Lytechinus pictus: one gene and its partners. The protein of the gene in region 1 binds, or shares a complex with, the protein of each later gene. Links are inferred from orthologs where the notes say so. Each region holds a gene or a part of one and is shown on either strand. Other genes may lie near its edges.

Evidence for each region.
Region 2: general transcription factor IIF subunit 1-like (region 1) and DNA-directed RNA polymerase II subunit RPB7 share a complex: the UniProt entries of both Homo sapiens proteins name them as parts of the TBP-based Pol II pre-initiation complex. The link is inferred for Lytechinus pictus from reciprocal best matches to the Homo sapiens genes GTF2F1 and POLR2G.
Region 3: the proteins of general transcription factor IIF subunit 1-like (region 1) and RNA polymerase II subunit A C-terminal domain phosphatase-like are in contact, whole or in part, in an NMR structure (PDB 1ONV), measured with the Homo sapiens proteins. The link is inferred for Lytechinus pictus from reciprocal best matches to the Homo sapiens genes GTF2F1 and CTDP1. Residues at the interface, in NP_002087.2 of Homo sapiens: Thr470, Lys471, Leu474, Gln478, Ser486, Thr489, Val490, Leu493, Ala494, Leu497, Lys498, Leu500, Asn501, Pro502, Arg504, Met511, Phe513; in NP_004706.3 of Homo sapiens: Ala946, Asp947, Met949, Ala950, Lys951, Ala952, Leu953, Glu954, Glu956, Leu957, Asp959, Leu960, Met961.

The regions. Positions count from the first base shown.
Region 1 is NC_087255.1:31,038,134-31,048,786, forward strand, and holds the start of general transcription factor IIF subunit 1-like, read left to right. Parts: upstream 1-6,192; 5' UTR 6,193-6,207; coding exon 6,208-6,317; intron 6,318-7,731; coding exon 7,732-7,804; intron 7,805-9,116; coding exon 9,117-9,322; intron 9,323-10,244; coding exon 10,245-10,415; intron 10,416-10,653. UniProt on the Homo sapiens protein: TFIIF is a general transcription initiation factor that binds to RNA polymerase II and helps to recruit it to the initiation complex in collaboration with TFIIB. It promotes transcription elongation.
Region 2 is NC_087251.1:16,537,100-16,547,991, reverse strand, and holds the start of DNA-directed RNA polymerase II subunit RPB7, read right to left. Parts: upstream 5,177-10,892; 5' UTR 4,394-5,176; coding exon 4,257-4,393; intron 3,315-4,256; coding exon 3,155-3,314; intron 2,597-3,154; coding exon 2,546-2,596; intron 358-2,545; coding exon 292-357; intron 1-291. UniProt on the Homo sapiens protein: Core component of RNA polymerase II (Pol II), a DNA-dependent RNA polymerase which synthesizes mRNA precursors and many functional non-coding RNAs using the four ribonucleoside triphosphates as substrates.
Region 3 is NC_087246.1:36,951,143-36,962,633, reverse strand, and holds the start of RNA polymerase II subunit A C-terminal domain phosphatase-like, read left to right. Parts: upstream 1-4,999; 5' UTR 5,000-5,266; coding exon 5,267-5,502; intron 5,503-7,642; coding exon 7,643-7,726; intron 7,727-8,187; coding exon 8,188-8,272; intron 8,273-8,638; coding exon 8,639-8,764; intron 8,765-9,684; coding exon 9,685-9,932; intron 9,933-11,491. UniProt on the Homo sapiens protein: Processively dephosphorylates 'Ser-2' and 'Ser-5' of the heptad repeats YSPTSPS in the C-terminal domain of the largest RNA polymerase II subunit. This promotes the activity of RNA polymerase II.

The DNA of each region.
Region 1 (10,653 bases):
TTCTATTATTTTGCTTCTGTAGTTTTATGCCTTTTCTTGATTTTTTTTTCGGGGGGGGGGTAGGGCAAGTTTCCCCTCCCCCTCACTTCCATGCATCTTCTATCAAAAGGCTTATGTCAGTGTCCGTAGCTCATTTTCCAAATTTTAGAATGTAGAAGGCGTTGTTTCATGCAACTGCCGTCTCTTTGATCAGTTAATTGAACAGTTCATTAGACCAGAAATTAAAGTAGATCGGTCAATAACCATTTGCATGAGCTAAGAGTTTTCATATGTGGAGAATGATGTTTGAAATACTAAAAGAGTAGGTTCTTTAAGTTCACATTTTAATTCTTAAAGCTCATTTCATCACATGTATTGCCATGTTGGGAAATGCAGTCGCACGACCATTATGGCAAACAAATCTAAAGGCTAATGACCAGTGTCCAGCGCAGATATTGTAATATATAGATTGCATTTCCCAAATTGGCATTGGCAATACATACATGTATGTCCAGGGCTGCCCAGGGTCGGGCTGTCCAGCCCCCGTCTTAGACTACGATATATAACAGCATGGACCTATGATAATAGCAAACGCGAAAATTGTAATGAAGCAAAATGAATTGAATGACAATTATAACTTGCAATGCAAAAGACCAAATAACATTTATTATCTATATTTTCACATAATAATTATAGCAGCAGAACATTGGAAACAACTGTAACTAATAATTATTCACAAAAGCGCCATTCATGTGATAATAAAACAATAAGCTCATCGAACCTAAATGACGTATAACCTTGATCATGTGAACTGAAATTTGTGCAAAATGATCCATAATACTTTAATACCCTTATATTCAAGTTTAATCATGAACTGGATCAATAAAATTTAAAAGTTATGATGACATTACGAAAAAATACCCCCATATGGCCAAAGCTCAGTGACTCTAAATGACCTTTGACCTTAATCATGTGATCTAAAACTTGTGCAAGACGATCAGTAATACCTGAATACTGTATAAGTGTAATTAATTTACGTTCATAACGAAAAAACGTAACCTTGGTTAAGATTTCAAGGTTGATATGACGCTGTTATATCAAAACTACCGTCGCCTCCGCCGGCAAAGTGGCTCCTTTAGTCCCGCTCTGCTATGCATGCAGGCGAGACACAAAAAAATAGGTATGGCCGTGGCAACGGCCATATTTTTTTAGACTTTGATAATCCAATAATTGAAGTAAAATGTAGATTTACAGTCAGAGTAGTTTAAAAATGCTAATTCGATCGTTTTATTCATACATGTATATTTTCTATGCAGAGGGGGCAGTCTGCCCCACCCCCCCTGACGAGTCCCAAACCATGCAAAAGACGTATCCATGCCCCCCCCCCCCCCCCCCGACGAGCTTGCAGACCTTGTTTTTGCTTGTCAAATTTTTTGGCCGACGGCTTTGCCCCCCCCCCCCCTGTGGAAAATCCTAGGTACGCTACTGTTTCTATGATTTTAGATATAGATATTCCTACAAAATTAATGTTACCATGGTAACGGCAAATTAAATATCAGACCTATTTATGAATATCGCCACAGGTAGATTTACGTTCAGCACCAATTAATTCGCGGAAATAGCAAGAAGATCGAACTCTACAAAAGTAAACATAATCCTTTATAATATCATGACGAGTATCGCACTGATTAATATTAGTATGTGCAATATAGATGTAATATTGTGCGCTGTTTGTATTTTATCAGAAATGCGCATCCGATAAAATGTACATTGTTATCTTTCGCATATATAACATAAAATGATATATCTTGCATCTTATCTCAACATTTGTTTTCACTTTATGTGCCATGACAACAATTATTATGTATTTATTCGGTTAGCGCTAAAATTGACGAAATTGAGATGCGGAACACAAACATTATACTATTGATAGTTTTCACAAACTATTATTTTTAGTAAATCACGATTTTATATTTCATATTGCCATATATGTGTGTGTAATATTCCAAATTGAAATGCATATTTAGTAGACTTATCATTTAAAACTCTGAATAAAAATAATTCCATATCAAAGATAATCAAAAATATGATGATAATCCGTCAAAATATCAAAATGCGTGATTTTCAACAGTCTTTCAAATTTTATGCAAAAAATGATACTTTCACGCAAAAGTGTACTTGGCCTCCGCCCGTACGTTATTCCTCAGTTTTTCCGCAAGACTTTTAGCTGGGATGCAAAGAATTGACAAATTGTGCTATCTAATTAAAAACTCGCTTTAGTATGTACTTATACATGTAATTATGTACATAATGTACGGTATTTTCAATTTTTCTTTCAAAATGCGCACCTGATAATTTAAAAATGCACATTGTCTCCTTTCGGATATCATAAAGTGAGATATCTTCCATCTTACTTGTAAATTCTTTTAATATTTGTGACATTAGGACATTTACTATACATTGGATGGACAAACGCAGTTAAATCGAAGAATTTAAGCTGCGTAAAAAAAACTTCAAACTATTGATAGTTTTCACAAACTTTTATTTTGAGGAAATCGCGGTTTTATGTTTCCCTGTGCCATGTGTGTGTGTGTAATATTCAAATTTGAAATGCATATTTAGTAGACTTATGATTTAAAACTCTGAATAAAAATAATTCCATATCAAAGATAACCAGAAATATGATGATAATCCGTCAAAATATCAAAATGCGTGATTTTCAACAGTCTTTCAAATTTTACGCAAAAAATGATACTTTCACGCAAAAGTGCACTTGGCATCCGCCCGCTCGCTATTCCTGGGTATTTTTGCAAGACTTTTAGCTGGGATGCAAAGAATTGACAACTTGTGCTATCCAATTAAAAACTCGCTTTAGAATGCACTTATACATGTAATTAAAAACTCGCTTTTAATTTAGTAAGTACTTATACATGTAATTATGTACATAATGTACGGTATTTTCAATTTTTCTTTCAAAATGTGCACCTGGTAAAATGCACATTGTCTCCTTTCGGATAACATAAAGTGAGATATCTTCCATCTTACTTGAAAATTCTTTTAATATTTGTGACATTAGGACATTTACTATACATTTGATGGATAAACGCAGTTAAATCGAAGAATTTAAGCTGCGTAAAAAAAACTTCAAACTATCGATAGTTTTCACAAACTTTTATTTTGAGGAAATCGCGGTTGTATGTTTCCCTGTGCCAAGTGTGTGTGTGTAATATTCAAATTTGAAATGCATATTTATGAGACTTATAATTTAAAACTCTGAATAAAAATAATTCCATATCAAAGATAACCAAAAATATGATGATAATCCATAAAAATATCAAAATGCGTGATTTTCGACATTCTTTCAGTTTTTACGCTAAAAATGACACTTTCACGCAAAATTGCGCTTGGCATCTGGCCGTACGCTATTCCTGGGTATTTTTGCAAGACTTTTAGCTGGTATGCCAAGCATTAACAAATTTTGCCGTCGAATCCTTATCTAGAGCACTTTTTTACTTTTGGCCGGTCTACTACAACGTGATTAAGGTTGTTTTTTTTCTTCAAATTTTCGCTGTTTGCGCCTACCTCTAAGAAACACCCCTTTTTCTATATTTTTTCTTGCAGATGCTGTCCAATGGACCCCCCACCCGCTTACAAATTGTGATATATTGTGACTGGTAAAGACATCCACAAGGATGATGATGTCATTCAAGATGGCACTTTCCAGTAATACCAAAATAAGACAATTTAAGCGAGACTATTACCTCTGCCACTTTCGCAATGGCTGCGGGAACGGCATCAGCGTCATCAACATTGAAATCTTAACCAAAGTTAAATTTTTGAAATGTCATTATAAACTGAGAAAGTAAACTGTACATGAAAATACATAATAATAATAATAATACTCAGTTCTTGTATAGCGCATAACACATAAATAACGTCTCTATGCGCTTCCAAAGGACTTGGTTATTATTACCCCGGCTGTAGCTCAAGCAGCTAGCTTCCAGCACTCGGCATTTCAAGGAATTCACCTCACCTGGGTTGAGTGCAGCACAATGTGGATAGATTTCTTGCTGAAGGGAACTATGACATGGCTGGGATTTGACCCCACGACCCTCTGTTTCAAAGTCCGGAGACTAATCCACTGGGCCACAACGCTCCACATTGTAGTTAATGAGTCTTGGGTCTTCCAAACCAGTTTGAATGACCACTTAAGATATCCTCCAAGAATGCTTCAAGCGTTCCCATTACTTGTTAAACTAGTTTCCAGTATTTGGTTTCCACTAAACTAGCTTCAGGACTGGAATGAGAACGGGGTCTTTTTGGTGTTAAAACAAGGGGAATTGGTGACAGATTACCTTGTCAGGTGAAACATTTGTGTTACTCACTTGCACACCAATACATAGGAAGGAAGAGAAGGAGGAGAAGATTCCGGGGGGGGGGGGGGGGGGGGCGGGGAGAAGATTTATGCTTACCTCACAGAGGATACATAGCAGTAAATTACACTCCTTGTGGTTAAAATCCATCTTAAATACAAATGCTACGAAAAGGATGCCTCTTGACACAACTGTAAAGGCAGATATCAGCACTGTATATATTTATAGTTTATTTAAAATTCATGCAGAATCCATGTGAAATTGGTAAATTATACAAACTAGAAATCAGATACGACCAAGTGCAAGGGATCAAAGAATTTGACACCCTTCTGAACTTGTCATGCCATAACATGATACCATTAATTAAAACTGGTGCTTAGTGCCTACTTGTTGTACATAACCTTCATGACTGAGTGACTGTGATTCAATTATTGCATATCTCTTTCCTATTTTCTCATCATGATTCATTGTTTATTTGCCTTTTTTCTTCATTCTTTGTCAAATATCTCTGATTTGATTTGTTAGCAATGAAACATCAAGTTTTATGTGCACTTTCTTGATATTTTTGTTCTTTTAAAATTGGCTATCAAGTTGTGCAGGTTTGAGATTATGATAGCAGTCACTTGCATGAACATGTCTGTAACACATCAGTATGATTTCTTTATTCTTAAAAGAAAAAAAACAAGTTGTTTTAACTTTTTTTAATGTGAATTTAGTTTCTGATTACCCTAACTTTAATATTGTATACATTAATTTCAACAGTTAGAATATTGTTTAATATGTTAATTGGAATTTGTTGGTATATGATATGGTTTACCTTTATGTCCTTGTATCTTTTTCTTCTTCTTCTTCTCCTTTTCCCCCTTCTTCTCCTTCCCCTTCTCCTCCTTCTTCTTCTTCTCCTCCCCTCCTCCTTCTTCTTCTACTTCCTCTTCTTCTTCTTCTTGTACGTCATTGTCTTCTTCTACATCTTCTTCTTTTTCTTCTTCCCCTTCTTCTTCTTCTTCTTCTCCTTCTCCTTCTCCTCCTTCTCCTTCCTTTTCCTCTTCTTCTTCTTCTACGTCTTCTTCTTCCTTGTTTCCTCTTCTGTCCACATTCTCCTCATTCCAGCCTTCTGCAATAATAAGGAGGACACAGTCTAGGCCAAGAAAGATTTAGTTTAATGAAAACAAGATAGTGCATAGGGGAGATCGGGGTTAGTTGGAACATTTTTGACAAAAATGGCTGTAAAATCCAAATAGAATTTATTTGAGAAACAATCAATATATCAGCTTAAAGCATAAAGGGCTTCAAATGTACCCCATAAATTTTTGAACTCTATGATGATTACTGAAAAAAATCCACCTTGAACAAGACCATCGCAAGCGTTCCAACTTACCCCATATACGGGGTAAGTTGGAACACTGCATGGTCAATTAAGAATTATACTTCTACTTACAACTGTTATATTACATGGTTTTGCTTTATTTTTTACAAGTTCAAAAAATTTAAGGTGTGTATTCTGATTTGTTGAACTTTATGTTTTCTATTATACAGCCACTCACGCAAGCCGACTGTGTAGTAGGATTACGCGTATTTGTGTGCGCATGATTTTACATGCAATTAAAAACAAAAATTCCTTTCTAACTTCACCAGGCTTGTTGCACATGTGTTGTCTGTAATATGGTGGATGGCAGTTGATAATGGCAATAAATTGAGGGCAGTAGTGCATAAATTTATTAAAAGGCGTTAAAGAAAATTACAATGTTTCAACTTACCCCGCGTTCCAACCAAACTGATCTCCCCTACAGTATCTCTATAAAGAGAAGTTTAGTGTTGTCAAGTAAGTAAAGTACATAATTTTGAAGGGAAAATAATGTATATATTTTTCTTTTCATATTCACAGAGTACATCTTCGTCATCCTTATCAACACCTACTAGACCCAATACAGGAGATGTGAAGGAATTCAATTTCAGATTCCCTCTGTAAGTGTACATTTTAACGTTCAATTACTATTAATTAGTCCTAATTTTGTATCCTGCATATGAGCTTTTTTTCTCTCATTGTCTTAAAACAGGAAGCTAGAAGTCAAAGTTGCTCGCTTGTCTAGCTTGGCTTCTATCTGGCCAGGCTCCATTTGGGGGTGACAACCCTAGCTTGCATCCATATGCACGAGCTGTGAAGGGGAATACCCTGTTTCAGTCCCAGGAGCAAGTGGCTTTGGCCCCTGGCTATATCTGGTTTGGGTTGACTGCCCATTCCAATTCTAATTACTTTAGTCACATTATTTAATTATGTGGCAGTCACTGGCCACTTTTCATCAGATCATGATGGCAACATCAGGCCCAAAGAACAATGTAAATAAAAACAAAAAAAACAAGACTGACTGATGCTACCACACTTCTTCACCTTCATCTCCAATAATAAGACTTCTATATCCAACTATCCACTTGGTCTACTAGCAGATGTTCTAATTTGCAAATTATCTGACACCATCATGGCTCTTAATACAAACTTGGTCTATTATCAAATTGGTCTAATTTCTGTGTGGTCCTACCATCAATTGCAGGGCTCAACTTTAAAAGGGGCTAGGTCATTTTTGATTGGGCACTTTTAAGGAAAGGGAATGTGGCACTCACCTTTTTGGGCATCCAAGGGCATTTAAAAAGGGCATCAATAGAAATATGTACTGTACTTCTCAATGGGACACATACACTGGATTACCACATGTTTTTGACATGGTTTGAAATTAGGCTAAAGTGATGCAATGGAAAATAGGAGATTAGCGTATGTCTACTGTCTTTGTTAAGCTTATTTTGTTACGTAGGATGTTAGATTTGGCTATATAGCAATTGAACAAAAAACTTGAGATATTGAAGAAATGGAATAAACTTGATTATATACTGAAGAAAGGCTTTTCCAGAAGCATAGATTATGAAAAGGTTTGTTATGGAATGTGTGGGTACCCTCCCCCCCCCCCCTCACCCTCAGTCGCATTTTAGCGTCCAAATATGTTCCACAAATTTCCACTTTGAGTTAGGAGCTCACCATTTAAAAACTAAATATTAATGACACAATCAAACCTGCTTAAACAACCACTTGTATAGAAGGACAACATGCCTGTAAAGACCACAACCTTCTATTTTTTCCTTGTATAGTATTCTGCATTGAAACATGTATTATAGCAACCTATCCATAAGGACCATATGCTCGTAAAGACTGCTTTCCTTGTCTACTTTGAGTTGTCTTTATACACAGGGTTCACTGCCCTATGTTCTTCTCATGCATGGTTGTAAATAAAAAGTATTTTGCCCCCCCCCCCTCTCCGCCCTTGACCTTGCCCCTCCTCAAGCCCCTAAGCCAAACATTATACAGTTATACTATTCTTTTTTTCCACAGGAATCAGAGGAAGAAGTACAGTGTGATGCAATTCAATAGAAATGACAATGTTGATCTCTCCAAATGGAAGCAGGTACACATGCAATTATATGGTTAATTAGTGGAGAGTGCAATCAGGGGGAGGGGGGGGGGGTCACAAACTTTGAAATTCTGACTGACCTACAACATCTCATTTACAAGATAGTGCATGTCCAACACTATGAGGTAATGTGTTACACCACACACAACTAGGAATTTAAGTGCAATCTTAAGTCAAACTTAGATCTGTACATGTACATGTTTGTGACCTACCCCCCCCCCTCTCAAATACAGGGTCACTTGTCATAACAATGATATTGCGATTGATTAAGCCCTGGTGTTGTGAATTATGAAAATTACATGTAAACTTGACATGTCATTTCTAACAGTCCAGTCTTATAAAAGCTTAGTGACCAGTGTTTAAGTTTTCATTGATACTTTATAAGAATGAGAGTGTTTGACTGTTTATTAAAACATCTTCCTATGTACTATTTAAGCCATAAGCCAAGAGAGTTAAAGGGATGGTCCGGGCTGAAAGTATGTATAATTTAATAGATAGAGTGGAATTGACTGAGCAAAATGACGAAAATTTCATCAAAATCGGATAACAAATAACAAAGTTATTGAATTTTAAAGTTTAGCAATATTTTTGTGAAAACAGTCATCATGAATATTCATTAGGTGGGCTGATGATGTCATTTCTCCACCTGTTCTTTTGTATTTTATTATATGAAATTAGGTTTATTCAAATTTTTTCCTCCAAGAACTAGAAATATTGGATTGACAACTGATTTAGTGCGTTAGATATTTATTGCTGCAACTTATTTAATTATAAGGGAGACATACTTTTCACACAAGTATGAAATAATGAAAAAATTATGATTTTATGTAATAACATAAGAAAACGGAAAGTGGAGATGTGACATCATCAGCCCACCTAATGAATATTCATGACGACTGTTTTCACAAAATATTGCTCAACTTTAAACTTCAATAACTTTATTATTTGTTGTCCGATTTTGATGAAATTTTTGGCATTTTGCTCAGTGAATTCTACTCTATGTATTAAGATATAAATATTTTCAGCCCGGACCATCCCTTAATATCATACTCCAAGATATACAATTATCTACAATTGGGATATTTCTATTAATTAAATATTCATGCTAGGGGAAATGTTTTACGTCTTCTGAATGAGTTTGTTTGGATTGTTTTACATCTTCTGAATGAGTTTGTTTGGATTGTTTTATTTTGAAGGAGATTGTTTAGATTGTTTTACATGTACATCTTCAGAATGAGTTTTTTTTTAAATCCGAAGACATAGACAAATAACTTCCACAATACCTCCTTTGACCACCGTTCTCTAGGCTAAGATGGAACGAGAGAACAACAAGATCCACTACAAGACGGACCTCGATGACCTCCCAAAGTTTGGGGCAGGGAGTGAGTTTGGTCGGGAGAGGAAAGAGGAAGCAAGGCAGAAGAAATACGGCATCATCGCACAGAAGTATAAGGAGGAGGATCAGCCATGGATTCTCAAACAGGGAGCAGCTGATGGAAAAACAGCTAAAAAGTAAGTAAAGTTATATATCAGTAGAAAAAGGTTGAGAACATGGAAAAGGAGAAGTATACATAAAATGAGAAGAGGGAGAGGGAGAGGGGGAAAAAGAAGAGACAATGATGATTATGATGAAGAAGAAGACGAAGAAGAGACAATGATGATTATGATGAAGAAGAAGACAAAGAAGAGACAATGATGATTATGAAGAAAAAGAAGAGGAAGAAGAAGAAGAGGATGAAGAAGAGGAAGGAGGAGGAGAAGGAGAAGAAGAAGAAGGAGGAGGAAGAGGAGAAGAAGAAGAAGAAGGAGGAGGAAGAAGAAGAAGGAGGAGGAGGAAAAAGAAGTGGAGGAGGAAGAAAAGAGGAGGAGGAGAAAGAAAAAGTAGAAGAGGAGAGTGAAAGACTGGATGGGAGGCACTAATTTCTCTACTGAAAGACAAAATGATACTGAAATTATATTTTCAATGTGTAAGCCCAGAAAATGTCTATTTTTTTCCCCTTAACCCTCGTGCCATGAGGTGACAGCCCTAGGGCCCCGTCTTACAAAGAGATACGATTCATCCAATTAATCGTAACTCTGAAAATCCAACAGTGTCATAACTTTCCACAGGAAATTTGCAAAATGTCCTTTGTAAACAAAGGAGAACAGACCAAATTGCCAAGAAATCAATGAATTAATAAATATACATCATATCTATAATTTTTTTTTGAACAAACATGCATTTTATATGTTGACGTTGCTGGCCATCCATAGTTGCGATTGATCAGATCAATCGCAACACTTTGTAAGACGGGCCTCTGGTTATTTATAAAGAAAAAAAATACATGTACATGTAGTCTACAATTTAGAAGACAATCATGTTTTATTGATACACATCTTTATTTATTTTTAAAAATGTGTAATGATATAACTAGAGTCTGTCTCTTTGTTGCAGGTATCGTGGAAGGAAGGAGGGAAGGATAAATGAGAACTCTAGTTACTTCATCCTCTCTCAGCTGGCTGATGGAACATTTGAGGCATACCCTGTTGACTCCTGGTATAACTTCACAGCAATGCAGACGTATAAGACTCTAAACGCAGAGGAAGCAGAGGAAGAGTTTGGCAGGTAAACTTTATTTTCATTGTCTCAAATAGTTCATCACTACTCAGTTTATTCAATGGAGCGTAGTGGAGCGTTGTGGCCCAGTGGATTAGTCTTCTGACTTTGAAACAGAGGGCCGTGGGTTCAAATCCCAGCCATGGTGTAAGTTCCTTCAGCCAGAAACTTATCTACATTTTGCTGCACTCAACCCAGGTGAGGTGAATGGGTACCTGGCAGGATTAATTCCTTGAATGCATGAGCG
Region 2 (10,892 bases), on another chromosome or scaffold:
ATGTGAATAGAATCACACAATTTTAGCACATACAAATCCACTGCCTGCTCCATGAAACCTTCCAAGTCAATGGATATCCCAAAGAAATGTGCATTAATTCATTATCACATGTAGATGGCTTGCCCAAGAAACTGGCCTCTGGATCTGTAACACAAAGCGTAACAATTGATCACAAGTCTAAATTTTATGATTGATTGACAACTATGAACAATCAATCACATAAATCAAATGTACGATCAATCACTAAGCTTAGTGTTATGGGTCCCAAGATGACATGAAAAAGAACCTTACCTCATCTTTCGTCTTGTAACATGGTGGATTTGAGTTGGGGTCGAATTCCATATCAGCTGGAATGGACTGAAAATATAACAAGTAATGATCATCGTTTAAAAGCAAACTTGAGTTGGCTGTTATATACTTCATAATTTTGCATTCAAATTCACCTGAAGTTGAGTCTTCTTAACCCTCAATCTCCCGGGGTATTTTGATTCTTGTCATTCCCGGGGGGGCCATTATGGCCCCCCCTTAAGATCTCGGCCGCTGATCGCTCGAGCGACGCAAAAATTTGCACGCTGGTTGTGTGCGATGTAATCTACAAGGCTGTATGGTAAAATTTTCCAAAATAATGAGATTTTATTTTATATGAATTAATTATGCTAATTTATGCATAAATCATACTTTTTGCTCTAATTCACTAAATAAAGCTCCTAGAATGCTAATTTTTGGTTAAAATATTCTTTGTAGCATTCTTAACAATCGCAATTAAAAAAAACTTCAGTTTGGAAATCAATTTCTTATGTATTTTATTGTTTTATGAATTTCTTATGTATTTCCTTGTTTTTTTTACTTTTTGTTTTTTTATTGTTTTTTCAATGGAAATCGTTCCAGACTTAATTCTGATCATAAGCAAGGCAAAATTAATTAAATTCAATCAGTAAAAGTAGAAATAATGATACATTTATGAATTTTGGCTAAATACACAATTTGCATTGGATTTGTACATGAAATCATGTTTGTGAGCAATTTTGGGTCTGACATGCACTTACATAATGTTGCGTAATGTCGTAACCGCGTATCCGGTCGTCACAAATTTGGTCTCAAAATTTGCGCGAGACTTGAAAGTAAAAAGTCAGTGAGCGGTGAGGTCAAAAAATTTGCGCAGCGGATATATCGCGAAAATTGTCGAGGGGGGGGCCATTATGGCCCCGGGAGAATTAGGGTTAACAGATGACATAGCTTTGCCTCACACCAATTTCAATGTACATTGAAACTTAGCTTTGTATGTTCCAAATTTTGTAGGGAAATTAAGCAACAAAATAATATTTGCAAATCATGAACAGAACAACAGATAATATGATTTCGTATGATTTTCTTACATGAACAAGTGGAATGCCTCTGGCGGTCTCACCTGCATCACGCGATTCAATATAGCAGCAGTACTGACTTTGAAAACTACTATAAAATAATTATTCACAAAAACACCATTCATATAATGATACAATACTACGTTCATTGATATTTGACCTTGATCATGTGACCTAAAACTTGTCAGTGATACTTGATTACCCCTATATCCACATTTTATACACTATATCTATAGACTTTGAAAGTTATGACAGCAATCTAATAATCACCTCTAAAATGGCCAAAGTTCAATGACCTAAAATGACCTTTGACTTTCGTCATGTGACCTGAAACTCAAACAAGATGTTCAGTGATACTTGGTTACTCTTATGTCCACGTTTTATGAACTAGACAAATACAATTACACCAATATGATGGTAATTCAAAAAAAAAAACCAACATGGCCAAAGTTCATTGACCTTGGTCATGTGACCTGAAACTCGGACGGGATGTTCAAAGATACTTGATTACTCTATGTCCAAGTTTCATGAATCAGATCCATAAACTTTCAAAGTTATGATGGTAATTCAACAGATACCCCCATTATGGCCAAAGTTTATTGACCTTTGACGTTGGTCATGTGACCTGAAATTCGCACAGGATGTTCAGTAATACTTGATTACTCTTATGTCCAAGTTTTATGAACTAGACCAATAAACTTTCAAAGTTATGATGGTAATTCAACAGATACCCCCAATTTGGCCAAAGTTCATTGACCCTAAATGACCTTTGACTTTGGTCATGTGACGTGAAACTCAAGCAGGATGTTCAGTAATACTTGATTAACCTTATGTCTAAGTTTCATGAACTAGGTCCATATCTTTTCTAAGTTATGATGACATTTCAAAAACTTAACCTTAGGTTAAGATTTTGATGTTGATTCCCCCAACATGGTCTAAGTTCATTGACCCTAAATGACCTTTGACCTTGGTCATGTGACCTGAAACTACGGCAGGATGTTCAGTAATACTTGATTAACCTTATGGCCAAGTTTCATGAACTAGGTCCATACACTTTCTAAGTTATGCTGTCATTTAAAAAACTTCGGTTAAGATTTGGTGTTGACGCCGCAGCCGCCGTCGGAAAAGCAGCGCCTATAGTCTCACTCTGCTTCGCAGGTGAGACAAAAATAAGTACTCACATGTCTTGAGATGAAACATGACAAAGGTCCAATTTCTGTGAAAAGGCCAACCTAGGAAAAATTAAGATATACATGTATTAAAGGAAAATTCAAAGTAAAATTTATTTCTATACTTCTATCTTTAGTCAGGTTAAACAAACAAGCACATGGAAAAAAAACAAGCACATGGAAGAATGGGGTTTAAATCAGCAAGACTTGAGAAAATGTAAAAACTTGATTCATATCACTAATATTATAGCAGTACCAGAATTTACATGTATCTATAAATTCTACCACTTCAATGAAATGACTTTACTAGTATCACAAATACATACCCATATTGCAAGTACATGAATTCATAAGTAATCAGATATGGTAGTAAAGTTATTACAGGAAACGGCAATGTGGACAAATATTACCTTCATATCATTAGCTTTCACCCACAAGTTAAAATTTAAACTATATCACCCAGTTGAGACTGATTATCAGTTGTTTCCAAGGTGACCAACTTACATCATCACCAACATCACAAATCACCAACACTGGTTGTTGGTCATGGTCACTTGATATGTGACCTATCATCTTAACCTTGGTCAGTAGTAACCTCATTGTCCAAAATCAAATTCTCACCTTGTTGACCTGTGTGACTACAGCATCTACTACCTCTCCTTTGAATGGTCTGAATACTATTGCCTTGTATTTGACTGGGTAGAGAACAAAGCCCCTGCTTGGTTGTATCATCCCAGCACCAATGTTATCAATGGTCGTAACAGCAATGACGAAGCCATACCTAGATACATTAGAATAGAATGTCATCAGTAAGGTACATTCCTACAAAAACATACAAGTCCATAAATTAAGATTCAGAAACCATCTCAAATACTAGACATTTCAACAATGTTATCAATGGTCCTAAACAGCAATTATGAAGCCATACCTACATTAGAATAGAATATCATGCAACAGTGTGCTACATTCCTTCAAAAACATTGTTCATAACAGATATTTCTACTCATAGTCTGAGATCCTCTTCAATACTAAACGTTTATATATTCAGACAAGTGAAACTCTGCCTCAATAGGTTCTATTTTGGTGAGCTTTTAATTATTTTTTTAAATCTTTTGGTTTAGATCAACCATCAGAATGTATAAACCTATCCAAATTCACAAAACATACAAAAGCTTCCAATAACAAAATATTTCATGTGATTCAAACATGTAGGAAACATGATTAAATTCTGACAGGCTCTAGCCGAATATGTTTTTGACTGTTGTGTGATAATATAAGTCCTGATAATATAAGTCCCTAATAACCCAATAATCCGTGCACAAGGAACTACATACATAGGATTTGTATCGTGCACGTATCCACCTTCCTAGGTGCTCAAGGCGCTCCTATATTACGCTAGTCTACAGATTCCGGTGCACACAGCTTTTTGAAGAATTACTTCCTGCCGATACCCATTTACCTCACCTGGTTTGAGTGCTGCACAATGTGTAAATATTTGCATTCATACAATTGATTCCTATATTCCATCAAACTTTACAACCATATATAACTGATTGATAAAAGAAAAATATGTCATTGTCAATAAACGAATGATTCCCTAATAAAGTTATAAACTGATTTACTTTTCATCATACTTTTAAAGGGGGATCATTGCTGACACAAGTGCTATCCTGAAAGTGGCTTAGGCTTATTCATAAATTTCAAAATAGGAGGGTGTACTCACTTCCCAGTACAGGTCCCTTCTACTTCAGTGAACAACTTCTGTTTGACAGTGTTGAGTAGGCTCGGTCCAAAGTATCTTGGATGAAGGAGAATTTCATGTTCAAGTGATACCTGGAGAAAAAAAACAGAATCTTTCATGCTTTTAATTTGATAACAATTATGCCATTTTCAAAATGGGATGATCATGAGAAATTTTTAACTTTATTTTGATACCAAGTATTGATAATTTGATTTAGCAGCTTGAGACATATCGATTGCTGAGTGGAGGCATCTCAAAGCATTATCTTTCAGCTAAGATTCATGATATTTATTGGCCGATACAACTACAAGTATTTTTTAAATTCTAATTTTGCACTGCTCATGATATTGTCGCCCTCTATACGCTTCTTGTAGCTAGGCTACGATAACTAAGACGGCAAGATGGCGACAATAACAGTCTGTGAGTAAACGCTCCTCTACTTTTAATTCATTCATTATGTGTAATATTAGTTAAAAATATAACTATTTTGGGCCAACAGGATTAAAATTATATTGGAGCCCATGCAGTATACAGCACACACTTTAAAAAATCATTAAGATATCACTTTGTGCCCCAAAATACTAATTTTTGTACAGTTGCAATATATTTTTCATTAGTAACTTGGGAATAATTTTTGTATTCACCAGAGCGCTCAAAAACTTGAATTTTGGGCATATTTTTGTGTATAACATGCCCTTCTATTAGTGGAAAGTAATATGGCAAGAAAATTTTCATTTTTAATCTCTATTTTTAATTAAGAAAAAATATTCAAAGAATCAAATTTACTTAAGAGCCAAGTTATATGATGAATAGCTGTAATGGAAACTGATACTGATAGTGTAAAAAAAATCAAGCATTTGTCCCAAAGAAAAAGAGAAAATAAGCCAAACATTGCCAACCTTATATTGTGCCACTCCATGTGTGGCACAATAAGGTTGGCAATGTTTGATGGAGATGTTACAGAGAACAAGGTTATGGCTTGTGTTCAATTTGAATTTGGCCATGCGAGTACGACTCCGAGTGCTGCATGCGCCATGGCCCGTGCCACCCATGGGTTCAATTCATCTCGCGTGCGAAGGATTCATATGCACCTGGTGCACGCGAATCTTTCACACCCTTTTTGCTCAAATAACTATGACATACCATTATAGCTAAGATTTCTAATTGTGCTATGACACTTACCGAACCATATGATCGTTTGTTGAATTCTCTTTGCTGTTTTTTTAATTAAAAAAAAGCATTTTTGCTTGATCTTCATGTAGATGCCTCCTGATCAGCATGGATATCAATTTTTGCCTAAAGAGGGCATGCGATATTATTCTTATGCCGGTTTGTACCGTTTGTCTGCAGCTTGTACTGCTAGCTGCATTCTAGGCGCTCAGCATTATTTTCTTGCTCGTTCAATCCACTTTCATCATCATCTGTCAAAAGATGGCGCACTTTACCTATAAGTATATACATGAAATTATATCAGCATGTTCGTCCTTGAGTAACACGTATCGCGGGTTCGCCTCCTCTCTCCCATTATGTAACGTGGATATTTGAAGTTGAAAAAATATCGGTAACTACGAAAATGTCGAGCGGTCATCGAGGGAAACAAGGCGGGAAACGCCCTCGACCATCTACCGGCTCTAGTCCCGAAGGACCTGCTCTCTTGCCTGCCATTAAGAATATGTTAGCAGAGGAGATAGGAAAGGTACTAGAAAGAATTCAAGTTTTGGAACTTAACTTTGGAGCCAAAATAAAGAAATTTGAAGAAAAACTTAACGATGTTGTGAATTCGGTCACTTTTAATGGACAGAATATTTCAGAACTTCAGCAGAAAATAGAGGAGGATAAGGAAATAGTCAACCAGGAAATTGACAGTCTCAAGACATACATTAATTGAGAAAATTTACTTTTTCACGGAATAGTAGAAGGTAATCAACAGGAAGATGTGGAGAACCTTTTACGGGACTTTTTTGTGGAGCATCTTAGATTTGATAGAGCGATTGCAGATAGGATTGAATTTCAAAGAGCCCATCGGATCAACTCTGCCAGAAGACCGCGCCCCATCATTGCAAGATTTTTAAGATATAAAGATCGCGCTGCTGTGTTTCTAAGGGCGAAGAATTTGAAAGGTTCACGCATGTTTATTACAGAGGATCTCCCACTGCGAATAAGAGAACGTCAAAGAGCTCAATTGCCAGCCTTAAAGGCAGCCCGGTCTTCAGGTAAGATGGCTTATTTCTCCCGAAGCGAACCTTGGAAATTGTATATCGATCGAGTTTACGTGCCACGGGAGAGACAACAAGTGTTCATTCGGCAACTTCCTACAGAGACACATCCCGGTAACCCAGGAATACGTCTTCAGGTAGCTACTGGTGCAGAGCCCAATCTCCCTGAATAAGCAACTGGCGCTATGAGAATACAAGGAGAAAAGCTTGGATAAGTATCAGTTATGTTTACATTCGCTTACACTAAGCATTTAATTTTCTAGACTACGGAGTTAAAGAGGTTTTCACAAAGTGAGACCCTTCTAAACACCATTTAAACTGTTAAACTGTGATAAGAATTTAGTTTGATGAATATTTCACAACAAAATGCGAGTCAACTAAAACCAAAATTGTATATTATTTCTGAAAGATGCAATGAGGATGATTGAAGAATATTCCTATTCAAACAAAAAGGAAGAGAAATGCAGGACAAAGAAGACAGGAAAATATAACAGCAATAACTAAAGCGTGGTGTGAGAAAAGATATTGCGTACTCTTATCTTATCTTATCTTATTTTTGACGCAAGGAAGGAAAGGAGACGCAATGTTCAAAAGTGGAAAGCTAGAGAGCTGATATTTTTTTTTTATTATCAAAGATATTATGCAACGAGAAGAAACTAGAATGAAGAAACTAGAAGACGTTCATGGAATAATCACCCTTTATTTTGTGTAAAAGTAACATAGACCTGTATACATATATTTTTTTTTCTTTCTTTAAATAAATATTTATTAGAGCCTAAAGTGGCTCTGATTGCTTGTGCAGGCTATTCTTAGGCCTTCTTATATGTACCAAGTAAATATTTAAAAATATAGGCCTACTAAAGAAAGCCTCTTCTATTGTTTTTTTTTTCTTTCACCATTTCTCTTTTATATTTGTGGGAATAAGTAATAACAAAACTTTAAGTTCAAACCAAGAGAAAGGGAGGAAAAAGGAAATGGCATTTTAAGTTGCAGTTTTTTTTTTTTTTTAACTGCAGTGAATTAAAGTGCTGTGGAGCTACTTTGTAAAATAAGTATGGATTTCCTTTGCAAAATAACTATGGATTTGAAGAGATACTTTTTTTATCCATTATAAATAAGTGGATATGCGTATACATTGTATGTATTTACAATATGCATTTTTATTTTATGATCTCTTTCTATCTCTCTCTCTCCCTCTCTATACGCTCTCGGGGACTGCCTCTAATAATGACAGGAATGCTAGTTAAATGTTGTAGGTCTGATGCCAATATCTATAGCTACATGTATCTGGTTATGTCAATCTCTTCGCTTTGTATAGCGGATAGGAGGAGTAACTGTCTGAAAAAAAGGAAGACAAAAAAGGTAAATCTTCCTTCAAAAGTTATGATGTTAATTGGATAAAAAAAAAAAAAATAGCGCATTCCGATCGTACATTGGTATCGTCATTATTGTAAGCGAGAGGCGGAGGGAGAGAGAGGGACTGGCAAAAAAGATGTTAAATAACATTCTTTAAAATTCTTTAATTTTTTACATATTTTTGAGAGAGTTAATGCACTAATCTTTGGTGTGTTGAAACAATAAGGTACAAAAATATTACCTAACTTGCAATTAATTAATTTTGAGCTTGAATTTGCAAGGTAGGAAGGGGTTTCTTGGCTCATTCACTATACCACTTTTAGCCCAAAAAAGGGGGAAAAAGTAATGCAATGCACAGTCTAATTTAAATGCATAACCTTAAATCGGTTTATAAAAGAATAAATATTGCTAATGAAGGTAGACAGGATGAATAGCTCTGTGTGCATTTGCAATTTTGTATTGATAATTCATTCGTCTGTATGACCCTGAGTTGAAAGCAAGATCCTTTTGCTGGTGATTATGCATTAAGTCTTTTTTCTATCGCCCATCCCATGAATTTTTGAATGATAATAGTCACATGGAATGACACTTCCAACAATTAGAGTCTTTGAAATTTCTTTAGGGGTTATTGATCTACATATTCAATGAAACAAAATAATGAAGGAGTGGAAGGATTTTGCTTCAGGCAGGTATAGCTTTAATTGGCAGAGTACATTATTAGGATATCTGTGTTACAATGGCTCTAAACAAATTAGCATAGGCAATTTGAATAGCTCCATTAATGTTATTGAAAGTAACCAGCTATTCGAGTGACAAGAAATTTGCTCTCATTTGTTTCTGATTGTTCTGATTAGAACGGCGCTATTTTACATGGGATCTCAAGTACTTTGAAGAGTTTTGTCATTTATTCTGATGAACTGGGGGACAGAGCGATTTTGAATGACGTTTATTGTGTGGGGTAAATGTTTGTTCCATGCATGCATTCATAATGTAATGGGTCTAGTGGGTGGAACATGTATGACTACATCACAGAACGAGTCTGAAAGATTCCCGTATACATTCTTAAGGATAATCATGACTTTGTTGTTGGTATTGTCATTTGATTTGAATTGATTGAAAGGTGTTTTTTTTTTCTTTCATTCATTGTATCACTTATCATGCTTATTATAAATAGAGGACACATGGTAGTAGCTCTTCTCATACCAAATCTCATTCATATTGGTTTACAGAAGAATAACAAATATGCCAATGCAGGTATACAAGTCCTGCTGTATATGTTTATTGGAACGATGTTATTGTTATTGGGAATTTTTGTGTATCCGGAAGAGTTTTTGCCATTTGCTTTTCAATTAGGATGTAGAAGAATAGGAATAGTTTGGACAGGTTGGAACATAGTATCAACTGTATCCTTTATCGGTGCAGTCAGATAATACCTTTTACAATAAGAACCCTCTTGGATGTCCTGTATTCATTTTGACTGGTATCTTTAAGTATGCTATACGTTTCAAGTGAGTTATATCCTATTATGTAGGTTTATTTGGGTTCACTCTTACATGTGTTCACTCCAAATGTTATGAAGGTCTAAACGTTTTAAGTCTAGCTTTGATATGGGACAAGGGCTAAAACACAGAATCAGGTTATTCTTTCGGACTCTTTTATTATTATTATTTTTTTTTTCTCAGCGTTATATAGGTAGATATTTTCTGTAGACAAGGGAGATAATGTTAATATGGACAGCATACAAATGGCTGCTCTATAACGGGGGGGGGGGGGGGGGGGGGGGGGGGGGGGCGGAACTGCGGGTCTATAGGATATATGTCAATCATGCTGGTGTGCGTGTGTTGGGGTGTTTGTGAGAGTGTCTTGGGGTGTTTGTGCGTGCAAAGGATAGTCTATGGGCGTGTGTTTGAGTATGTTTGCAGAAGTGTATGTGTTATGTTTGTTGGGATGAAGTGGAGTGATACGTTGAGTGGTATGTTTTCCAGTTCTGGTGTGGATGTGAATGAGTGGGGTGCTATGTGTGTAATTGGAAGTTTCTGTGTCTGTCTGTACTTGTATTATTTTCAACTTTACTTAAAAGCTCTTATTTCTGAAGTAGGGAATGCACCATTTCGTGTCCTATCACTGTGGCAACTCTTCACCAATGAGGGGTAATTTAAAAATACTCACAGTCAATGTAAGAGGGCTAAGAGATAAAGTAAAAAGAAAGAAAATTTTTCAATGGTGCAAAAGGTCAGGAAATGTAGTATTTTTACAGGAAACATTTAGCACACAAGATATTGAAAATAGTTGGAAGGCTGATTGGGAAGGGGAGATGTATTTTAGTCACGGGAGTAATCACAGTAGGGGAACTATTCTCATGTTTAAATCGAATGTTGATTTTGTGATAGAAAAAGTTTTAATAGACAAAGGCGGAAGATATATTATAATAAAAGGTAAATGTCAAAGTGAAAAGTTGATACTAGGAAGTGTATATTTTCCAACAGGAGATAAAGGAAAGGCCCAATGTGATTTTCTTTCTGATTTGGACAAAATAATTTCATCTGTATTTAGTGAAGAATGCTCTCTGATAATTGGGGGAGATTTCAATTTAAGTATAGACCATGACTTAGATTACATGGGTGCGAGAAATGTTTCAAAAAATAAATACAAAGATTTATTAGGTGATTTTCTTGATAAGCTAGATAAGCTAGATAAGCTCTTGGTAAGCGTCATCCAAATAAAAAAGAATTTACTTTTAGACAGAAACAGCCATTTGTTCAGAGTAGATTAGATTATATTTTCATCTCTTCGAAATTAGAGAAGCTTGTAAAAAAATCTGACATCTTACCCTCTATTACACCTGATCACGCTGGGGTCTGTGTAGAATTTAGCAACTTGGTTGAGAGTTTTATTTATGGGAAATCATATTGGAAGTTCAATAGCAGCTTATGTAATGATAAAGAATTTGTAGAAGAGATAAAAATGGAGGTTTCTGAAATAGAGGGAACCTGGCGAGACCAAATAAATAGTAAAATTAAATTTTGGGATTTTATGAAAATGAAAC
Region 3 (11,491 bases), on another chromosome or scaffold:
CGTGCTGGGTCCTGGCCTGGCTTGGCCTAATTAATTGGAAAGACTTCCTCTTGCAACAGCCACCCAAAATAACAAAAGATTGTCGGGACTTACGGTTCATTCACTTCCTGTTTCTCTAAGTTTTTTTTTTTTTTTTTAGTGTTTCTTACCTTAGCTGGGACTCGAACCCACGTCCTTGTGACTGCAGTCAAGATTCTTCCCGCTATGCTAGCAAAAAGCACTGATACCAGAAGGGGTTTTTCAGCGATCATAAGCCGATACTTCAACTAGGGTAGGAATTTAGACCATTTAGTGACTAAATAAACCGATGTCTATGGACAATTACACCCACTCAATCCTGCTCGAAAATTTGACGGAATAAAGGCATATTTTGGTATGTAGACTATTTCCACATCATATTATCATGTTCTATATTAGGGCTAGAAATATTACATTCTCCATATTTTTATTTTCAATTTTGGTGGCTGTCGCAAAAGTAGGTACTCCCACTGGCACTAGATGGTGCTGCGTGCATGTACACAAAAGTCAATACGTGAGTTGGACCCACCTGTTCTTCTATACTTTGAGTGAACCATTTAGTTATTTTGAGATCTAGCAACATCTTCACATTTTTTGGCAGCCGAGTTGATTATCTATCAATGTGACATGTTTCCATGGCTCCTCTGGGAAGAGAACACAGCCCCAGGCCAGGGCAGTATTAACATGGCCACCACTCACTAGCCTACAGTAGGCCTAATGAGTGTACAGTGAGGTACCATTTCTAATATGGTTTTTTTTTGGGGGGGGGGGGCACATAAACATGATCTATTTTGCTACTTTTTCAGAAGTTATACAGAATTTCTGCTTAACTGGCGTGGCGTCCGTCCACAATTTCAAAATGCTTCTTCTTCATCATTTCAATTCTGTTTGCTTCACTAGTATATGATAGCAATTGGTGGGGGATTCAAAACTTTTACACAGAATTTTGAAACTCATTAAATATGCTAATCTATGTGCATTTTTCAAAATTCACAAAAGTGCTTCTTCTTTTTTGTTGACAGATTTTGATTTTTTTGCTTTCATCTGGTAGAGCTTCATGAGGTCCAGCAAACTTCTACACAGAATTTTGAAATTTTGACTATAGAACAATTTTTATGCTAATTTATGGGTATTTTAAAAAATTCACATAAAATGCTTCTTCTTCTTTATTTATTGACCAATTTTGATTTTTTTTCCCTTCCATCTGGTAGAGCTTCATCAAACTTATACACAGAATTCTGAATTTTGATTAGAAAATTATATATGCTAATTTATGCGAAATTTATTCATAAATCACAGAAAATGCCTCCTCTTTATTTTTTGACCCATTTTGATTTTTTTTCTTCCATCTGGTAGAACTGCATGAGGTTCACCAAACTTGTACACAGAAATGTGAAATTTTTACTAGAAAATTATTTATGCTAATTTTATGCAAAATTTATTCATAAATCACAAAAAAAAGCTTTTTCTCCTTCATTTATTGATCAATTTCAATTTTGTTTGCTTTATATGATAGCTCTAGGTGGTATACAAAATTTCAACACAGAATTTTGAAACTCTTTAAATATGCTAATTTATGCATATTTTTCAAAACTCACAAAAAATACTTATTTGTTGACTGATTTTGATTTTTTTTGGTTCCATCTGAGAGCTACATGAGGTTCACCAAGGTTTTTTAGAAATTTTGACTAGAAAATTATTTATGCTAATTCATACGAAATTTATTCATAAATCACAAAAAAATGCTTCTTCTATGTAATTTCTTCATCAATTTCAATTCTAATTCCTCAACTTATGTCACCAATATAATTCACTACAATGTCAACTGGGCTGAAATTAAAATTGTGTTAAAAGTTGTTGCGAGACGCCGGATGAGCTCCACATCATTGATGTGCTAGTTATTATTTTTTCGTACTTGAAGATTATTTTTATATGTTTTTAGCTCATCCGGCCCGAAAAGCCAGATGACCTTATGCCGTGGTGTGGTGTCCCTCATCTGTCGTCGTCCACAATTTCAAAATGCTTCTCCTTCGTCATTTCAAGTCCGATTTCAATTCTGTTTGCTTTATATGATAGCATTAGGTGGGGGATTCAAAACTTCTACACAGAATTTTAAAACTCATCAAATATATTAATTTATGCACATTTTTCAAAATTCACAAAAAATGTTTCTTAATTTGCAGGCCGATTTTGATTTTTTGGCTTCCTTCAATCAAGTTTGATTTTCACGGCAGTGGGGACAGTTTCAACAGTATAGATATACTCATGATGCAGTCCCGACTCTATGGGATACATTTCAATTTGGACGCTGTGGGGACAGTTCCAAGTTCCAACAGTATAGCTATACTCGTGATACAATCCCCACGCTATGGGATACACATTTCGTTTGGCACATAGTGGGGATAGCTCCATCAGTTTATTATACTCTAATACCGTCCCCTCACAACATAAAATCGTGCTCGTTCGACAAGGGGATGGGGACAGTTTCCCAGTGCAAGGTGACAAGGAATGATCGAGGCTGAAGAAGATGTTCACAAACTTCAGGGGGGGGGGGGGGGTCACCAGGAAAAGTGTGCCCCTTTGAATTAGATCACTATAGACTCATTCAAAACCTTTGGGTATTATTACCATCATCATTGTCATCATTATATTATCCTTATTATTGTTAATATTGTCAATATTATCATTATTATTATTACTATCATCATCATACATTATTATTCTTTATTATTGTTGTTTTATTATTACTATCATCATCATAATTCATTGTTATTCTTTATTATTATTATTCTTTATTATATTATCATTATTATAATTATTCTTTATCATTGTGCCCCTTCCATCCATTCCGTTCCTTGTATTTCATTTAATTCCTTCAAATGAAATCACTTTAGACTCATTCATAACCAACGTTTGGGTATTATCATTATCATCATTATTATTGCTATTATTTTTACTATTTTTTATTTTTTACTTATTATTATCATTGTTTGTTAATATTATTCATCTTTTATTATTGTTATAATAAAAATTATCATTGTTATTCTCTATTACCATTAATATCATTATTAATTATTATAATTATCATCAACATCATTATTGCTATTATTTTTTATTATATTTATAATCATCATTACCCCATCATTATCATTGTTATCATTACTTTAGTACTTTTCATTTCCGTCACATATTTGTATCGATTCCTTTTAACTTAAGTTTAATGTTTTGGATTTGGGGGGTTGACTCTAACTCTAGTACTCATAGTCATAGTCATACATAGTCTAAGTCTAACTAAGACTAAGTTAGTTTCAGTGTCATTCTTCATTCATTCTCTTGCCCCCCCCCCCCACTTCCCCGTTTGCTATTGGTGCCCTTGCGCTTTCCCCTTATTTGTGTGTTCTACTTCTAGCTTTCTTCCTTTCCCCTTCTTTCTTTCTCCTCTCCTCTGCAGCTCAGGCTCAGCTCAGCCCCGAGTTCTACTACTACAACTAGTATACCCAGTTGTTGTGTGTCCGGACAGGTTGTGTGTCCAGACGATCAATTTTAATTTTTAGAAAGTCATTTGGAAAAATTTACAACCGAATTTTTATCAATTTTTATTACAAAATGTTGTTAGGAAATAATTTATAGAGAACAAAATAGAAGATGATTACAACTATTGAATTCATATCTTTAGTGCAATCCAAAGACAAAAAAGAACTCTTCAAAAATATAAAGTGTCCGGACACCCGACCCCCCCATCCTACAACTTACAAGTAGGATGGGGGATCGGGTGTCCGGACACTTTATATTTTTGAAGCCTTCTTTTTGTCTTTGGATTAGGCCTAGGCCTACACTAAAAATATGAATTCAATAGTTGTAATCATCTTCCATTTTGTTCTCCATAATATTTCCTTACATTTTGTACGAAAAATTGATGAAACTTCGCTTGTAAATTTTTCCAAATGACTTTCTAAAATTGATCGTCCGGACACACAACCTGTCCGGACACACAACAACTGGGTATACTACGAGTACTACTAGTATGGCAGTGAGTCCAAACTTCGCGCGTGTCCATACTTCGCGGACGGTCATTATCTAAAAAACTAGCCAATATCCTTAAAATCTGACATCATCAACGTGAAAAGCGACCTAAAATTACCCTTTGGTGTAAGTTTCTTTAGGATGAGTTCAGTATTCATGAAAATATTGGCAAAAGATCGGCAAATTTGTCGCCATTAGCGCCCGTTTTGAAGAAATCTGATATTCTCAACAAGCATCACGATATCACCATTTTGCAAGCATAAATCATCAAAAATGTGAGTTAAATATGGTACTAACCGATTCTATAGCAATTTGCCATCAATCTGATATAAATTTTTCACTTTTTCAGCTTGAGTTTCTGTTTAAATCTCCACAAAAACTTTGGTCCGCGAAGTTAGGTCACACTTTTTCTTAACGGTTTTCCAGCACAGCGCGCATTCGCCAATCGGAATAGAATTTTGAGATCGCGATACCGGCGAAAGCCCTTGACCTACTTCACATTTTCGTCCATGATTTTATACTTTACGATCTTGCCGTCAATGTGGTAACTATTTCTTGAATTCTTTTTGTATGAATTATGAATATTTTGTGAAAAAAAATCAGCCTGATGAATATTTTTGAAAAGTGCGCGAAGTTTGGACACCCCATCATACTAGCCTGGCCCCCTGGGCCTGGCGCAGCGCCGCAATAGAGATTGGAGCTGGCGCTGGAGCCCCAGGATCAAGATCGAGGAAATTGTCTCGAGAAATGGCCATCACGCGCGCCAGCGGCCAACACCGATAACGCTCACATTGTGTTTAACTGTTTTTAAGATAATATTTTGATGATTTTAAAGTACTCGTTATTCACAGTTTTATGGCTTTAAGCCTTCAAATAATAATAAAACATTTTGAAATTTTGAACTCACCGCCTCCGTCGACGACGAAAACGCAGGTTGAGATTGAGCTATTTTTTTCTTGAATCTCTCAGCGCTGCCTGCGTGCGCAGCACGAAAGCTGTATTAAGGAGAAATGAGTTTAGTCTGGAATATTGGTCACTGTCATTCGTACACAATTGATTCATATATGAAATTTTATAACAAATCGAGTACTATAAACAGTGTTTTTAGACAAAATAAAACTAAATTACAACTAAATTTTTATTTCACTATTTTTGCGTATACGACTGATTGAGAAGGACCTAATATTTTCTGCAAAATTCTTTCCACGTTTTCTTTCTTTTCAAAATGGCGGCGTCTGCGCCCCTGGAAATTTTTCTCCCTGAAAGAAAAAGTTGTAAAATTTCTAAATTGAAAGTGAAATCTGGCTCGAAAGTATCAAAAGGAACCGTATTGTTATTCTATAGATCTGAAAATGAAGATATCGGTGGTGAAGAGAAAGGACCTGAGCAGAAATTGAAGTCTCAAGATGTTGGAACTGTCAAAGATATCCTTGCAAATGAAGGAGACGAAGTGAAACCAGGGTATACATAATAAATGTGTATTTTAGGATAGTTTTGGATTACAGTGTAGATATAATTTATTTTCAATTATGATAACAGTTGCTATGAAAAGTAATATTAGCTATAATGAATGGAGTTAAGGATAAGTTAAGTATTGTAGATAATTCTATATTCATTTCATAAACCACAGCCTGATGCATTGCCATGGGCATGGCCATGGCCATGGCTGATAAGTGATGGCATGCACACAGCACAGACACAATCATACGGCGGGTTCCCTCAAGTCTGCGCAGTCCCCCTTGTCTGCGCACACGCGTATCTGCGCGATTCTAGTAAAAGAAGATACGCAAAGAACACAGACTTTACACATGCAATACCTAGACAGATATCCATTAAAAAATAGGACTAAAAATGGTGGGAAAATAATGAATTTAGGGCATTTCATGTGACGACCTCAAAGTGCAGCCTTTCTCATCAAAATCCCCGAAATGTGTGCAAAGTGAATGGGTGTGCAGACATGGGGTATGGTCAGTTCCCCCAAGTCTGCGCACCCGCGTATCTGCGCGATTCTAGTAAAAGAAGATACGCAACGAGCACGAACTTTACACATGCAATACATAGACAGGTATTCATAAAAAAATCTGACTCAAAATGGTGGAAAATAATGAATTCAGGGCATTTCATGTGACGGCCTCAAAATGCAGCCTTTGTCATCAAAATCCCCGAATCGTGTGCAAAGTGAATGAGTGCGCAGACATGGAGTACCATTTTTGTTTCAATCTGAAAATGACTGCCCAAAGGTTTTTTCAAGAAAATCTTATATTTTCTTTCATTTTTTAATGAGAAATTTGGTACACTTACTCTTGATAATATAAGGAACACTATTAACCAAAAGATTTTGTGAAATAAGAAGGAATTCATGTTAAATCTTAACTCAAATTGTTAGGTGCGCAGACTTGGGGCCCACCATCATACCATTTTTTTTTCAATCTGAAAATGACTGCCCGAGGTTTTTTCTAAGAAATTCCTATATTTCTTTCAAATTTTTATGATATTTGGTACACTTATTCATAAAAATATAGGGAACATTATTAACTGAAAGATTTTGTAATATAAAAAGAAATTCATGTTAAATCTTAACTCATAATATAGGTGCGCAGACTTGGGGACCATGCACCATCATAAATTAAGTGGCGGGGGGGGGGGGGGTGCATGGGGCTTTGTCTGTCTCCATGTCAGCTTAGCTCCTGAATTTGAGATTACACATAATTTTCTTGTTTCTTTTTCTTGAAATTCTCACAAAACTGCTTTATAAATTTGGATGATTCAGGCTCTTTTTTCATGAAATTTCACCATCCAGGCCAGGGAATTTGATGAGGCTGCATTTTTTTTTTTTTTTTGATGACAAGTAAAGTGAGTCCACCACATATCCACCACCTCTTGGAACCAACCACCTTGCGCGCATTTAATTTATTGCGTATTACGAATACTATGTGAGTGAGAGTAGGCGCACAGTGTGTCTATACGAACGATAAGAATCAATTTTAAGAGAAAAAAAGTGATAAAAAAGTAGGAAATTTGTACAATTTATAACCAGATCCGAACTCCGTAAAACAGCCACAGCATCCCCCCCCCCCCCCCCCGGGTACAGTGCCTGCTCGATCGATCCCTCTAATTTTTTATGTGTGTGTGTGAAAAATCCTTAAACATGGGGTTTGGTTTTGTGCTTGACAATCCTTAACTTCCTCTCCTTTTTTAGTCTTGAGTGCATGATGAGCCCTTTTTTTGTCAAATGAGAAAAAAAACTTTCAACATGGGTCTATTTGAGGGAGAAAATTCTTCATAAAAAGTACCGGTACCTTTTTCTGGCAACATTGCTCAAAAAGAGATGGGTTTCAAGGTTGCAGCTGCACACCGGCCTCCAGTCCGAACCAAATCTTAGTACCCCCCCATCCTGGGGCGAAAGTTCATTCCAAATTCATATGCACATATCTGATGGTTGAACATGTTAGATTCGTGCTATGCAATTGAATTTAGGGTGCTGCTTTATAAAAATAGCATCATCACAAAATCTACAAGTATGCAAACAATTTTTGCCAATCGACCCCTGCATCATATCTGAGAATTTATTCCTTAAAACCTTTTTTCTTTTTCTTTGTAGGTCGGTTGTCTTGAGGATTGCAAGATGTTCACATCCCACAGTTATGAAAGACATGTGTGCAGAATGCGGGGAAGATTTGAGAAAGTGAGTAACGCACTAACTAATGTGATCTAAATTTGGGGATTTGTAATAACTGCATGGGTATAATGTGGTCTTTTGAACTTCACAAGAAGATTTTAATGGACAATAAAGAACTAACTTTAATATACATATTCTTTTGAATTTGTTGAAATATTTCTTGGTTTGTGAATACAGACCTGGACAATTATTTTTGAAAAATCCTTCCTTAATCAGACATCCAGTGTTTGGTTTACTTCCTGTGATCCTGTCATGATTTTTTAACTGATGTTTGCTAAATTACTTTAATAACACTTCATTGATAAATCGATCCACATGACAGTTATGTCACTGGTTATGAAAATTCTTTTTCAACCAATAAAAAACAAGTCTAGCAATAGTGTGGCTGGATGTGATTGTTATTTTCTCTATTTGTAACTAAAATGAATTACACCAATAAGTCCCGAAATATAATTTTATTTTTCTAGGGATGACGATGACAAGCAGACACCTGCAAGCAAAGCATCTGTTGCTATGATTCATAGTATTCCTGAACTTCATGTCAGTAAAGAAGTAAGTGGTTTCTTTGTGATAGTTTGAAATGGTAATTGATTTTTTTATAGAAAAAAACTAAGATTTTAACATCTCGTAGGTGCTTTTAGCTGTGTTCTCCTAACTTATACAAGAACATATTGTAAAGTCTGCAGAAACAAATAAATAAATTGATAAATGAATGAATGGATGAATGATTGGATTAATTTACTAATGAAAAAAAGAAACAGAGTAATTATTGAGTGAATGAATAGATAAATGAAAAGAAATATCTAAATTGATTATGAAATTAAATGAACTGATCAATAAATAAATTTAAAAAAATACTTTTAAGCAGTAGGCCTATAGATGAAATAAAAAATAAACTCATCTCATTCGTATTTTCAGGAAGCTGATGTTCTTGCCAAGATTGATGAGGATTCTCTTATCAAGCACAAAAAGTTGGTTCTTCTTGTTGATCTGGATCAGACGCTAATTCACACTACGCTTGATGATGTCCCTGCAGAGATGCCTGTAAGTCAGGCTATTTTCATCAAGCTTTTATTAAAGGAGAATGAAACCAGTGGAACAAGTTAGCCTTTGTGAAAGGAAAAAATAAAATCAGAGAATAAGATCAATGAAAGTTTTGAATTGGACAGACAATAAAAAAAAAGGGGACTCTCCTATTGGCAAGGCCAACAAGATATTTTATGTCACACATGTCCCATTCGACAATGAAAAGATAGCCCAGGACATCTCTGTCTGCAATCTAATGATAAGACTCTAAGACAAACAATTCATCCATGATGTCTTCTCATAAAAAAAGAACACCCAATCTTGTGATAAGACTAGATAAAAGAGAAAAGTTGAGTGAAATATGTTCTTAATTGATGCCAATGGGAGGATTAACACAGTACTAGTGATCTCGGTATTCAAATTCCCATAACTGTCTTATTATTCATTCCATTTTTCTCCAACCTTAATTGATTGGTTGTTTGATTTTTCTCTTAAATGTTATTCAACTGGTTCAAGGGTTTCATTCTCCTTTAAAAACAACTTTACGAATGACCAGAATATTATTTTCCAAAATATGATAATTTGAAGCCAAGAGTGAAGCAAAGCTGTCAAGGCTCCTTGATTATTACAGAAGTTCCTGAAAATTAATGAATCTCAGTGAAAGCTACTGTCTTTAATGATCTGTCTCCCCGATTCATGCATTGATCTTGTATATTACAGTAGGTGTACTGACTATAGCGAGACCCCCCTCTCCCTCTTCCTCTATGATTGTGTGTGAATGAGCAGAAGATTAGTACACGCTATTCACCAGTGCATGTAACATTTGGAAGTATTTTTGCTCGACCAATATTCCTTTCAGACAGCAGATAAAGATTTTTATTTATTTTGAATAGTTGGTAATATAATAGTAAGATTTTTTTAAATTGATTATTTTGCAGGGAGTTCACCATTTCCAGCTGAGGAAGGGTCCCATGTTCCCCTGGTACCACACTCGGATCAGGGATAACTACCAACAGTTCCTGGACATCATCAGCCAGTTCTACCAGCTCCATATATTTACCATGGGGGTCCGCCTCTATGCTCATACTATTGCGGAGATCATTGACCCGGATGGGAAGTTCTTCTCCCATCGTATCCTCTCCAGGGACGAGTGCTTTGACCCCAACTCAAAGAAAGCAAATTTAAGGTATTTTTTAAATGATTTTTGTGTCCTTGCATTGGTGGGCTTTCAGATCGTAGTCCTTTGGGGAATGTTTCACAGTTTAAGTAGAAAGAAAAGGTAACAATGCACAGAAATTTGACAAATGTTTTTGGACTTTCTTTCTGTAATTTTGAGGCATTCCTTGTTTGAGTGTATGTGTCAATTCTTCCCTTTTCAAAGAAGGACACATTGTAACAAACATTTTGATTGTGCGTCCTTGTGTGATGAATGCTCTCATTGGATGAATTTATTCAAAGATACAATTTCATTTTTTCTTGAAAGATGCTATTCATCTTTTTTGTGATTATTTATTTATATATCTCTTCAGTTTGAAACACCAGCCATTGGTGACATGTTTATTTATTGAACACTTTTACTCATTGCTAAAATTGTTTTGAATAGAGAAAATTAAAACAAGCATAATGCAGAAAATTTCATCAAAATTGAATGTAAGAGCGTAAGATATATGGAAATTAGGCTCATATTTACAAAACGATTTTGTGCACAACTTGGGTGATATACAGTGAGATAACTGGTATTTGTCACACCCTCACCATTTATTTTGTATAATATGATTTATTAAATATTTCAGGTTTTAGTCGATTTGACATTAAGGAAGCTCATCATTAAATCACAATAGGATGCAAAAATGGCAATTTCACATGTTCAGGAAGGAACTAGAACTCGTTTCACGTTGTAATAAGAAAAAAATGAGTTCTTATAAGTAATGAAATACAGAAGAAAGTGAGATGGTGACGGTTTCAAGTCCCTCATTTGTATGCTGACCAGGATGTGCAGATTACTGTAAATGTGAAATAAAGCCAAAGCTCAAATTGTCATAAGTTTCTAATTTCACATCCAACTTAAAGTTGAATTAAGAAGACGATTCCAAATATTGAGATATTTACATTAATAGCAACCTTACAACCCCCCAAACACTAAGAGGTGATTCGACCCCCCATTTTCTTTTTTCAAAATAGTGAATTTGAACGATTTATCCCTACCCATTTTCCCTGAGTTCGCTCATGCAATGCCTACCGAGACGGGTGTTCTTTGACTGTGACGTCACCGGGGGGTATTCGGTCCCGGTGTAGTAAACAAGGCAGTGCCGTTTTGTGTACTATACACGTACACCTTCATATTTACTTTTGTGTAAAAACTTCATTTTATCGCTATTGATTTTATGTGAACGATACTGAAAGGAAGTAATAATTATTCAAAGACATATAGTCAATAATATAACCCTACATTGTTAAAACTGTTCTTCTTTGTAGCGATTTTAGACGATTTTAATGCCTTGTTTTCGTTCGGGACTGTGTCCGTGGCGAAACAAGTCATAATGGAATAAACTGCAGTTGAAGTTGTATCTACGAGCCGGAGAACTTGCAAAGAGGAAATGATTAAAAGTATATTTATGGCCGTACTATTATTCCTAATATGTAAATTCCCTCAGAATGATACCATAGACCCTAAATTAATAATTTCAAGGCGAATAATATTAAATTTGATCGAGATCTTCTCACCAGTCGATCACGTAGCAGACG